3 linked regions of the Neodiprion lecontei genome follow. The protein of the gene in region 2 purifies or fractionates together with the protein of the main gene of each other region. This does not show direct contact. Links are inferred from orthologs where the notes say so. Each region holds a gene or a part of one and is shown on either strand. Other genes may lie near its edges. The genes, in order: coatomer subunit beta, coatomer subunit zeta-1 and coatomer subunit alpha.

Region 1 (4,365 bases), on a different chromosome or scaffold from region 2:
GAGGACAATGTCGTACTGGTTGACGTGGACCAGAGCTTCTGCGTATACGGGATCGGAGAATCCTGTGAGCTGCGTTACTTTACTCAAGGCGCTAGGTGCCGGTGCGTCTCCTGCCGCGCCTGAAATATATTCACGAATGAAAAATCGATTTTCGTAAATTTGTTGGTTCCGCGACATTGTAAATAAACATTAAACTCTTTATACCTGGCCTGCCAGCAACCGCCACGCTAAGACTTTGCTCGAAGACGTCTCCCGCGCCTCCAGTGAGATCCAAATTACGGCTGAGTTGCAGGAATTGGATTGCATCATCAACTTGTACGATGCTGCCCGGCTTTTCCTTTGCCTATTAATCGAAAAAAAATTATAGCCCGTAGATTAAATTGTTCCTATTACTTCCTTATGATCGTCATGAGAAAGCACGCTACCTTTTGAGTTTGCGAGTCTTCCTCGGCTTTAGCAGCGAACATTCTGCTGAGGGCGTCTCTACAGCCCTCTGTGAAGACCTTTTGAATGATGGGTGTAGGACAGGCTAGTGACCTCAGGCACACGGTCAGTCGTTCAGCATCGTCGTGGGTCATAGCTTTAGTCGGAAGCCCGGATCTACCGAGCTGCAATACACCAGACATAATGAGCATCGCTTCTGCTTGCATCCTGTTGCTCTTTGTAGCATCGTTCTCGAGAGCTTTGTAGCGCAGTACAAGCTTAGCAAGGGTTGTAGCAAGGGAAGCACCAATGAAAAAGTCACCATCCATCATGTACTGGACCAGAGCTGGACGTTTTTCTTCTTTTTTACCTGAAAGAACAATCACAGTGCAATATTCGCCCATATTTTGTAAAAATTGTCTTTAGAACATGAACTGACCAGTCGATGCTGTGCTAAACGCACTCTGGCTAGCATACGTTCCATCCGAGGTTACAAGCTGAGCCGGGTTTGCTGCTGAAGTTGGGGCAGCGCCGTCTTCGGCCGGCTTGTCACCAGCCGCCCTCTTATTCTCTGCCTCGACTAAAGGTAGCTCTCCAAGCGCGGCCCTAATGCGACTCATTACAGCTTCGATGTCTTCTTTTGAAACTGCATACTCTCCAAGGATCCAAAGAGCTGCACGGTGTACTTTGACCGACCGAATTTGTGGAAATACCTGAGCGAACAGGAGACAGAAAAATTAATAATGAAGTGACATTCGATAAGAGGTAGGGAATGAGATTCTTACTTCTAATAGCTTTTCTATAATGAGTGGCCTGAGTGGCTCAAATCGTTGGATGGCTTCACGAACGAAAATGAGAACGTCAGTGGCTGCAGCTTCGTTATTTTCAGAGAGAAAATCAGTTAGAACTGGTATAACAGTTGCTGCAACATCTGGGAACTTGATTGAACAGGCGTGTAGGGTCCTAACCAGGAGCCGACGGTATCTACCAGCATCTTCGTGTTCCCCACCAGCAGTCCGCATCACTTCTTTCTTAAGCAGCTGCACCATTTCGTCAATGGTTCGATTTGATACCAGATCCATTGCCAAGGCAAGGGTTTTTGTCCTGACTTCAAACGCCGGAGATCCTAGAAGATGATTTCAATCAGGTAAAACTGTAAATCTCCAAGAAATTCTTGAGCAGCAAAGAGCTAAACCCACCCAAAACTCTAAGCACATCCATTACAAGATCCTGTAATACTCTTTCATGGGCAGGGCTGTCCTTCATGGCAATAAGTCGATCCAGAACAATCAACTTCACATTATTGTCACTCTCTTTAACTACCAGTTCTACATAGGATGCAGCAGCAGCTCGTATTGCTGTTGGGGCACTAGACAGGGTAACCAGTGTACCAGCAGCTTCATACCGAACAGCCGCGCTTGGTGAGTTTAGCAAACTATAGATGCAACGGATAAATCTAGCTCTCTCTGATGGATTTGCATGGCACACCTGCAAGAATAATATGAATTTAGAGTTCGTAAATACATTGAAATATGGACTTTGTTTTTTCTTTGAAAGATAATTAAATTGCAGAAAGCTTACCTTGTAAATCAGTTCGACGATAACAAGCTGAAGGATGTCGCCAAAGCTTGGAACTTGGTCAAGACAAGCAGCTAGGTAGGAAAGAGCTCTGCTCTGATCAGCATGGAGCAGCATGAGGAATGCATTTCGTCTACAGGACATATCCTGCTCACCGTCCAAGTATTTTGCGATTAACTCTGGAGCGTCCGGTATGAGAAACTCAAAATTACGGTATATTGTGAATATGGCTAAAACTGCATTTCGCCTAACGTACGAATGCCGATGCTCCAAACAGGCTATGATCGCAGGCATCAGAGGCTCCAGAAGTTCAGGCTCCTTGAGTTTGCAGAGAAATCTAAAAGATTAGGTGTAAAGGATGACGTCAAACACAAAAAATTTAACTGCTAGGCAAGAGCTAAATAAGAATCTGAAAGAACCTCAGAGTGGATCCCCTGACAAATTCGTTTGGATGCTGCAGGTCTTTTCTGTATGCATCGCAGACGAGAATCATTTCCTGAAGTAGTTTGCCATCTGGAGAAGTTTTTGGTACGATTTCCCAAAAAATGAGTAGCAATTTTTTAACCATATGGTCTTGCAATGGTAGCACGAATCTTATAATGGTCATTAACAGCCCAGGGAGCCTTTCGCCACTGATAATCATGTGTATCGTTCTCTTGAGTGCTTCAATTTTAGTTTTGGTGTCACCCTTCTCCAGATCGAGCTTCAGCTGGAGCTCGTTGATTGGCTCCGAATCCATTGGAATATTTATCAGTGTGTAGCATGGCTGTTCTGCAATACTACTCATGGTGGAAATTGGGGCTGAAATTAGAAAAATAAAATACTGGATTTTTCACCTCTTTACATATACTATAGTATCAAGTTCGTGGATGAATCTTATTCTAGTTTGGAGAATTTGACACATGCACTGAAACCTTCAACAGTCCTCCAAAGTGTCAGTATATATAGCGATGTGGGAGAGAAATATTCAAGTCGGCAAAGGACAAGGAAAAGCTGCGACAAACCATTTACTCAGACAGCTCATTTATTCAATTTAATTCAAAGTAATTCTAGGATGGGAGGGCCGGACGGACACACATGTAGGTTATGTTTGCCTTAAGTCGCGAGCCTCACGGCCGAAGAAGAGCATACGTACGATTTCCTCCCGCGTTCTTAAGGAGCAGAAGCTGAGGCAGAGATTCGTCGTGATTTAAAAACGTGGATTAATTGTACCAAAATATAACGCCGCTGAGTAGTTCCGAAAGGAACGACAGCATTTAAAACTGATTCGTGACGAAGATTGCGGACGGCATACGTGTCATACGGAAGTTCGGGCCGCCGTCGTGACAAGCGAATGGCGCGCCAGGGAAATTTAAAGCTAGCTCAGATATTCGAAACCCTCTACTTCACGTTAGCCAGAGACGGGCATATTTAGGTTAATCAAGAGGGAACGGAGTCCCAACGCGGCGGCCCATAAAAAATGAGAAGTAGCGTTGATTGAATATTGCTTGGGACGGGCAAGCTGAATTGAAACTCGACGCAAGAATGTGAGGCGGGGAAGAAAGCCTCGGTAAAGAAATTTCCTACTGTTACCCACTCAATGCCCCCTAATCAAATCGATAAATAAAAGATACTGCCATTATCTCCGCGCCCACGTTGCACTTGTGCTTGCTTCGGGTCCGTTCTGATATGAGCTTCTGGAGCTGTCAACCATCGTTTATCTCTTTTGCGCTGCCGTGTTCGCGGATAGAACCTTTGGCCTAGGGAGTTTTTAGCGCATCTAGCTAACGTCGGAACGCACCCAACAAAATAATGCCCAGGGCTGACTGTCTGTAGCAATCATTAGTCAACGAAAGAAGATGTTGAATATGATTTGCATGAGTTGTAATGTTTTCTGGTAAAAGGAGGAGATATTGTTATTTACGTCAATAACAGTGGATCAAGTGTCTGTACTTGACGAAAAAAGGAAAGATTGAACAATGATGTCGGTACACCAAGGCAGTCGTGTGGGCATTGCACATCACAACATACTCACCTACTATAATGGTAGATGGCACTAGATGATTGCTTATCTTTAATGATAATTAATACGTGAAATCGCGAAGCTGTGGGAAAACAACGTTTCCACTGAGTTAGATTTGATATAGTGCGACAAAGAATTGATTTTGGCATTATCTTCAAAATTTTCACCGGAAGTCGAAAGGAGTTGACCTTACTTGTTCTTGGAACAAACAATCTTTCGTCTCAGAATCGATTTGTACGAACATTTCTAGACTGATTGGACCCTCAGGATCATCAAAAAGAGCAAAGGAACATCAGCAAAAAAATTACGAAGATGATCTTTAATTTTTCGGTTGTAAATCTTAACCCATTGCTCGTAGCGTA
Region 2 (3,714 bases):
CCATTTACTCATGAACTCGCCTGCCAAATATTCAGCTAAAATTTTCGTCAACTTGTTACCACCTAAATCGTGGTAGTACGACGTCGATACAATCTGGTATATGCCACTGACTACTTTGACCAATGTGATCTCACTGCTCACACCTCCTATTCTGTAGACTAGCACGTATCTGTGAAATAAAATTAATGATAACAAGGTCCTTGTACAATTGGGAGCGAGCCTTCAGGCTTGTGAAAATAACTACAAACCCTGACTCTTTTCTGTCTTGACCAATCCCATAGGCCAAACACGCAGCAGCAGGTTCGCTAATAACTTGTAGAACTCTGAACCCAGCAGAGGAGGCAGATTTGCTCCACATTTGAATGCTAGCAGAACTGAATCTGAGCGGAACGCAAAGTACGACGTTGTGCTCATTGTCATCATGTGCTGCGGTAGTGGAAATACTGTACATGACCTCGAATATTCTAGTTGCAACTTCGACGGGAAGTATTTTCTCCATCCTTTCATTCCTCTTTATTAAATATTGTACTGTGTCTTTCTCTGTTATTATTTTACAGGTGCTACTCTTTACTGCTAACTCCAGCTCCGTCTCGTCAATGTTTTTATTCATTAATCTCTTATTGTTCAATACAGAGACCGGACCATTCCTGAAGAGTCCAGCCTTGGCCGCCAAGCCGATCACCTTGAAAATTGTAATGGATAGACGTTACAACGCTGCAATAGGATAAATTTATAAAACACTAGTGGCAGGGGAGCGAATAATTCAAGGCAAACTAGCGAAAGAAAGGATGCGAGAGCAGATCCTAACCTAAAAATGTTATAGATATGCCGTAAAATAGAGTTTCACCTCTTCGGTTTCGTTGAAGGCGACCACAGCCGCGGTGACTCGCTCGCCGGCTTCGTTTGCGACGACGTCAACGTTGTCATCCTGTGAAAATTGATTGAATCAGGGTTATTGATGTGACGTTTTGGCTAGGTTAGAACGAGGCAGCGCGTCCATGTGTCATACATGCGGTTATCTTCCAGTGATAAAATGGTTGGAACTGACTGGTTATTATGAGACGAAAATGCGCCTCCCGCCCGTCAAAAAATATCCAGTTATGCTAGAAATTATCCAGTCACAATTTACCTTAAATATCGCCAAACAGGCTGAGGTGTTTCCTAAATAAAGACCGAATGCGGCTACCGATGCCATGTTTGTACATTCTGTAGAAGCACGAAGCAACGGGATTCGGTTCACGATCAGTTACGACACTGTGGTTACGACTTTCTGCGAGATCACGGATGCCGATCAAAACATGCTACGACCCTTTTTATCGACAGTAGCCTGCAAATTATAACCAAAGGAACGCAGGAACTGAAATCCGAATCGAGCAAATTGACACGTAAACAGAGCGGTTGCCCGTTGACTTTTACGCGAAAATATGGACGATCAGTTGCTGGTACGTTTACTATTTAAATATGTCTTTTTCCAACCTATTATTTAAGATCGAACAATCATCCGACGGGCTGACGGTTCTCTGTCATATTCCTGACCACTTATGTACGGTCGTCGAATATTTGACGGCTTTTGACTGTGTCGCTTCGACTCAACCTAACCTAACCTAACCTAAGAATTTCTACTTAATTTATTTCGAATGACGTTACTCGTCAAATTTAATTGGTTCATCTGTTTTTTCCAATGAATCCATTCTTTTCGTTGAACAATCTTATTATAATGACGTGTCTTTTTTTATCAGGAACCCTCACTATACACCGTCAAGGGTATGGTGATACTGGATAATGATGGCAACAGAATACTGGCAAAGTATTACGACAAGAATGTATTTCCAACTTCAAAGGAGCAGAAAGCCTTTGAGAAAAATCTCTTCAACAAGACACACAGAGCTAACACAGAAATTATCATGCTGGATGGTCTGACGTGTGTTTATAAGAGCAATGTCGATCTATTCTTCTATGTAATGGGCAGCTCTCGTGAAAACGAGGTTTGTCATGTTTTCTTTTGTTCTTATCTTTTTGTAAATGAACAATGCAAATATCTACTTCTAGCTGCTCATGTTGGCGAATAATAGGATTTTCACTAACCCAACTGGTCAGGATTTATCATTAGCTTCTTTGACAGTGAATAATTCTTTGTTAAACTATAATTAGAGATTTTTAAATCATTTCACGTTACAGCTAATTCTTATGAGCGTGCTGAATTGCTTATATGATTCCATAAGTCAAATTTTGAGAAAGAATGTTGAAAAGAGAGCAGTGCTTGATAGTCTGGATATTGTGATGCTGGCTATGGATGAAATCTGCGATAATGGGTAAGTTTTCTGAGATATTGGATTTCCAGATGATTGAAAAATATTTGTATGAACTAGTAAAGCTAGTTTGCACTACATAAAAAAAAATTCCGAAACCCATATGAATTGAATCCGAGCTCAACTTATGGTTAATTATTCCTCATACAAATTAAGATATTTCTGTTATTTAGTATTATTTTGGATGCCGACGCAAGTAGCGTAGTGACACGGGTAGCACTGCGAACAGACGACATTCCACTTGGCGAGCAAACGGTAGCACAGGTGAGAATGTATACCCCTTATTTCAGTCTTCACTTTCTACCATGTCTCTTTTTCCTATATTATGAAATATCGATCTTTCAGTGTAATCCTATCGTGACTTGTCTTTAGACTGTAATTAATATCTAACCATTTTAATCTTACAGGTTATACAGTCAGCAAAAGAGCAACTTAAATGGTCGTTATTGAAGTAATTTAATTTTATAAAATTAATGTTAAGAAAAAGTAAAAAATTGAGCACGTGACGTGAGTGAAAAAAAAAAATATTACATGATCTATGTGAATAAACTATGTGAATAAACTAGCAACGACTATGATTATAAATCGTTAAAATTGATTATATGAAGTATCGTCACATGAAATTGAATGAGGAAAAACTTTCAGTTTTACATCCATGTGACGCCCCGGTTTTCAGTCGAATATGCATTGTAGTTTACGTGATCGCAAAGCTGAGTTTACGTCAATTATTTATTTTCGTTTCAGTCAAATTTGAATCAGAGATTTAGCCTTTTTTAAAATTCTGGCTCACAGCCACCAGCAGAGCGCTGCGGGCACCTAACATGACGAAATACTTGACGCGTGACTGGATAAAGGAAATTCCGGTACACTTTTTCTCTCTCGTCCTGTGCCGTGATTGGATGGGGAAACGCGATTCAGCCAATCACAGCGCAGAGCGAGAGAAACAGAGTGTACTGGGACCCTCTTCATCCAATCACGCATCCGAGCATTGGAGGAGCGTATAAGCTCGATGACCGGATGACTAAATCACATCGTGCAGCCTGCAGTTGCTACTATCAATAGTTACCGACAAAGCACAGAACGAGTTTGTGGAGACGTTGGAAACGGTGTGCCTACAGGTGGAACCATTATCGGTGCACGGTTGTCTGTGATACTTCCGTAACACATAGGTATGTCCATAATAGAAATAAAAGTGGGAATAAGTAAAAAACAGGATTAATTAAAACGGTATATCATATATAGCCATCATCTCTGGGACGTAAACAATGTACGGTGTATTCTTGTCTCGAGATAACGGATCAACGATAATGTTGGTACTCTCCATTTTTATCAACGAATCGACTGCAGTGCCTCGGGTCGTATGTTACTTGCGTGCTCTCTGCGTACACAATGCAAAACCGTTAGG
Region 3 (4,365 bases), about 3.9 Mb from region 2:
ACACTGTAAAATCGACAATACATCAATTTATCCGTGGTTTAAAGTTTTGGAAGCGATAATAGGCGCGCGTTGCACGTGTCATTATTGTAATTTAAGGCAAACATCATGTAAAATAATAAACTGTACATATTATGAAATTAAATATTATAAATACGTGAACTTTGTGACGTCAAGCTTATTACTGTCGCGTTGGCCATGCAACATTTGCAGTGACCGCATGTGCAGTAAGTTTGATAATTTATAGCATGTATGTACAGTGTGTGGTGACGTTATTCCATTGTATTCAAATATACTTTACAATATCCCGCCAAGCATGCCATTCGTCGTATTTACAATTATTGCAATACGTATGAACCATCTCGTCAATTACCCTTCTAATAATAAGTAAAGATATTACATATATCTCAACCTACATTCTTGATACTGTAGGTACTTTATAGCGCTAGAATGACCAAACAGAGAGCTCATCAGGTTAGTGTGGAAGGTATAAAATTTTTATACGCAATTGCAGTAGCAATTGGCGGTCCTGACTTTTTAACTATCAAGTGGAAAATGCAGGTCATATGTAGTCAGTTTCATTAAACCTGCTTAATATTGTCGCGCTCGGGTCTCCAGCTAGTCGCTGGAGAGAAAGACGGAAAAACAGTGGGAGAGAAGGAATACATAGCTGTCTTTCTCTATCGGTTTCAGTTGCGTCCACAATCCTCCATAACTAGAAACTACGGACTTAAGGTCATGTAGTGGTCCTACTCTTACTGACCGAGCAATCTCGCCCTTTTTGGAACGAAGTTCCTTATCGCTCGTTCACCGTAGGGGCTAGGCGGAAAAAAACGACACCAAAAAACCGACACTTTTTGGCTATAGTGCTCGTTTGCTATAGTGCGCGCGATCTCCCTCTCTCTCTCTCTCTCTATTCCAGCGTGTGCGCGCGCTCTCTCTCTCTGTCTCAGCGCTTGGGGTGGGAGACGGCAGCAGCGGTCTCTCTCACTCACAGCGCACGACTATACTTCGCCCCTCTTTCTCTCTCCTACAGCGTACAACTATACTTTGGGCCGCAGCGCGCTCTCTCACAGCGTACGTCTATACTTTGCCTCTCTTTCTTTTTATATCTTTCAAAAACACATTCGTACGATTTTATTACCATTCCTTCATATATTTGATTTTTCATTTAATTATTCTTCAATTAAACGTTCTTAATTTATTCAATGAGCAGTAATATAGCGTAAGGAACTTCGTTCGTACCGGCTGTCCCATGACAGCTCTCATGTTTTTTTCTTCCTATATTAAATAAACAAACAAATTAAAAGGATTCAAACACTGAAATTACAGTTCAGTGGGTTGAAAAATGCTCTCGCGTCGAGTTGCCGCGACCATGCGAACCAAGGAACGTGTTGCCGCGCGCCCAACTGATCGTGACAGCTTCTTTTATTTACAAAATTATTGTAATTTCTAGTTCTCAACTAGCGACCTCAATATTGCGTGAGAACAGTTTTACGATAGTTCATTTCACTCCTCATTCTTCCTGGAATTGCGCAAAGTATCTCAGCTGTGCGCTTTTTGGCCCCTGAAATGTAGGAAATATGGAAATATAAGTAAGACGTGTCGAAAAACCACACTTTTTTTGACGGTTTTCAGGATATGAGTAACTTTCCTGAATTACTTGAAGAGCGATGCACCCTCGAAATTTGAATATACCTATATATCGGTCAACGCATGTGTAAGCATGCGGTCTGACTTGTTCTACGAAACTCCGCTAGGTAGCGTGCCTCTGCACGCATCGTTTTGCAGCATGAGCATGTTTGTCTATGATCGTAAACCGACCAATGCTTATGGGCGTCGGTAACAGCTTGGGTAACAGCCATCAGCAGCCATTCTGTCAAGTTTGCTAGTGACGTGTCTAAGTGTATCGCTAGGTGTATCTTGCTGTCGATAATGCGATTGTGATAGAATTCCAGGCAGAAAAAACCTACGAAATGTTGACCAAGTTCGAAACAAAATCCGCCCGCGTCAAGGGCTTGTCTTTTCATCCTAAGAGGCCCTGGATCCTTGTTAGGTGAGATATATTTCACGTACATGCCGTCTTGTCGGATGGCAAGGGCTTAGAGCAAATTTCACTTAGTAATTTCTATACGTAAGAAATTGGATGTTATTCGTGACCGAACGTTGGTCTCAGTTCAAGACGCAACACTCAATACCCAAGCAATTGACCGGGTGTCTTACAATGCCGACGTAATTGAAGTGATTCCGCAGCAGACGGACAGACACGTCATCAATTTTTGACATAACCTACAATGCTAAAAAACCTAACCTTCCTTGAGATAATAAGCGCTCGGTCGATTAGGGTTTGTATACAAATACTTAGTAATTGCCGCTTTGTTTACTAGACAGATTCAATTTTTCCTTGTCAGTATTAAAATTTTACGTATTCAAAGACAACTCTGTCACATTTTTAACCAAACTTTAAATACAAAAAAAAAACAATCTACTTACTGACCTACGAATCACTTGATTCGTGTTTTTTAATTCCGCTACCAATTTTCGAATACTAGCGGCACATTCCGAAAGTTGACCGCATTTGTGTCTCTAACAGAATTGATCAACAATTGTAAAATGATGATGACGGTCGTGCGAGTACATTTCGGAATACAATTTATTGATAACTCGGAAATTCTTAACGAATTATTATCGGACAAATATTTTAGCGCACCTATTTATCTAGCATGTCTCATGGCTCCATTAATAGGGACTTAGGGAGAACGCGAAAGCGACCGCCCAACAGTGTCTTTTACTTTCTATAGTAAATAATTTGAAATGGCTTACTGGCGGTTTGTAGTTTACACAATAGACTACTTCTCGAAAAATTGAAACAATCCGTTCCCTAGAAATAGGTCGCCCAAAATTGGCTTCAACGGACTGAAAGAGGATGCATTGGTGTGGAAATCTTTCAACGAAATAAAGCAAACGTGGCAGTCTTGATGTACAAAAGAAAAAAGTAAATTATAATTTTTTATTCGATTCAATCCCAATATATACACGTCAATGTGATAAGTTACATTTAAGACACGGAAAGGGCTATTTCATAGTTAGACTGCCTAAAAAAGAAATATCTGAACTTCTCAAGGCTATCTAAGCCGTCTCCTACTGCCTTGAACAGTGAATTTAACTTAACTTCCGATGGTTATATTAATTAATCAAGCAACAGCCATGGAATCGCTAACAACCGCGGGAGTAGTTGGTTCCACAGATTCGGTTGCAGTCGAGCTTGAAGGCGATGATGTTTCCGCGGAGATTGTAGTCGACTCTGTAGAACTTTCTGCGGATTTTTCTGTCAACTGCTCAGTAGACGTTGGTAATTCAGATAGCTTTGCGGACATTGCTTGATCGGTAACGGTGACTGAATCCTTGGACGAATCTTCTTCGGTTGTTCCCGAAATCACGTCACTTGTGGCAGACTGCTCCGAAGTACTCTCAACCTTCTCGCCGGTTCCGGAACTCTGGCCGACCTTCAACGGAATCATATCTTGAATTTCTTTCAAATCCTCTGGCATGCTTTCCTCGGACTCCCCGGAGATGTAATTGTTCACCGATGGTGTGAAGATCGGGTTATGATGCAACGACGGAAATAGCGGATTGTAGTATTCCTCAAATGTCGGGTACAATGGATTATAGAGACCCTGGTAAGAGCTGTACTGGTTGTAGAACGGCTCGTACTGAGATCCAAAGTAATTCGACGGCCCATAGCTAGAGAATCCGGACGATAACTGAGGATAATAGGAATTGAAACCTCGCAGTCTCAGGATAGGGTAAGGCGCTTGGAACCCGACACCCTTTTCCGGGATGAACACCTCATCTGGTTGGTCTTGCTTCGTGCCTTCCGTCGGGTTCATGGCTGGAGACAACGCATCATCCTTCGGGACGGGCGTAGAAGTTTCTATCGTATCAACCGGGACAAGTGGCACGGCCGTTGTTGTTTCTTTGTTCATTTCCGCGACTTTCACCTTCTTGTCATCTTCAGTATTGCCAAGGTTGGAGGCTGGAGCCTTGATAAATGGCATCGAACTCAGCTGATCGCGCATAGCACTGACTTCATTGTTCATTTTGACATCCGATTCCGGCCCAGTGACAAAAACGACTTCGGTTTGCCCGCCAGCGAAGTCCTTTGTGAAGTACGAGTAACCCGCAAAATCAACATTTCCGCCGACCGGCGAACTGTAAATGAGATGCGGGGTGAGCGACAGAGGAGCATGAAATTGCGGGTACGGAAACTGGAAGGTACCGAGCGCTGATCCGACGTATATTAGAACCTGCGTGAGAAATTAAAAATTAATTAGGAAAATGAAAGAAGAGTCATGGCCGTCGGCGCGA

Evidence for each region.
Region 1: the proteins of coatomer subunit zeta-1 (region 2) and coatomer subunit beta fractionate together in Homo sapiens (co-fractionation; 8 studies listed by BioGRID and IntAct, with this or other methods). This does not show direct contact. The link is inferred for Neodiprion lecontei from reciprocal best matches to the Homo sapiens genes COPZ1 and COPB1.
Region 3: the proteins of coatomer subunit zeta-1 (region 2) and coatomer subunit alpha fractionate together in Homo sapiens (co-fractionation; 6 studies listed by BioGRID and IntAct, with this or other methods). This does not show direct contact. The link is inferred for Neodiprion lecontei from reciprocal best matches to the Homo sapiens genes COPZ1 and COPA.

What each region holds. Positions count from the first base shown.
Region 1 is NC_060265.1:2,317,352-2,321,716, forward strand, and holds the start of coatomer subunit beta, read right to left. Parts: upstream 3,333-4,365; 5' UTR 3,137-3,332; intron 2,803-3,136; 5' UTR 2,789-2,802; coding exon 2,421-2,788; intron 2,339-2,420; coding exon 2,005-2,338; intron 1,912-2,004; coding exon 1,623-1,911; intron 1,550-1,622; coding exon 1,209-1,549; intron 1,137-1,208; coding exon 863-1,136; intron 794-862; coding exon 426-793; intron 344-425; coding exon 205-343; intron 120-204; coding exon 1-119. UniProt on the Homo sapiens protein: The coatomer is a cytosolic protein complex that binds to dilysine motifs and reversibly associates with Golgi non-clathrin-coated vesicles, which further mediate biosynthetic protein transport from the ER, via the Golgi up to the trans Golgi network.
Region 2 is NC_060264.1:32,064,149-32,067,862, forward strand, and holds coatomer subunit zeta-1, read left to right. Parts: upstream 1-1,307; 5' UTR 1,308-1,424; coding exon 1,425-1,442; intron 1,443-1,739; coding exon 1,740-1,985; intron 1,986-2,178; coding exon 2,179-2,312; intron 2,313-2,482; coding exon 2,483-2,573; intron 2,574-2,716; coding exon 2,717-2,764; 3' UTR 2,765-2,894; downstream 2,895-3,714. Other genes in the region: heat shock 70 kDa protein 14, read right to left, coding at 1-169, 249-682, 848-928, 1,130-1,195. UniProt on the Homo sapiens protein: The coatomer is a cytosolic protein complex that binds to dilysine motifs and reversibly associates with Golgi non-clathrin-coated vesicles, which further mediate biosynthetic protein transport from the ER, via the Golgi up to the trans Golgi network.
Region 3 is NC_060264.1:35,964,474-35,968,838, forward strand, and holds the start of coatomer subunit alpha, read left to right. Parts: upstream 1-1,845; 5' UTR 1,846-1,973; coding exon 1,974-2,053; intron 2,054-2,993; exon of another isoform or gene 2,994-3,191; coding exon of another isoform or gene 3,192-4,304; intron 4,305-4,365. Other genes in the region: uncharacterized protein LOC107217266, read right to left, coding at 3,192-4,304. UniProt on the Homo sapiens protein: The coatomer is a cytosolic protein complex that binds to dilysine motifs and reversibly associates with Golgi non-clathrin-coated vesicles, which further mediate biosynthetic protein transport from the ER, via the Golgi up to the trans Golgi network.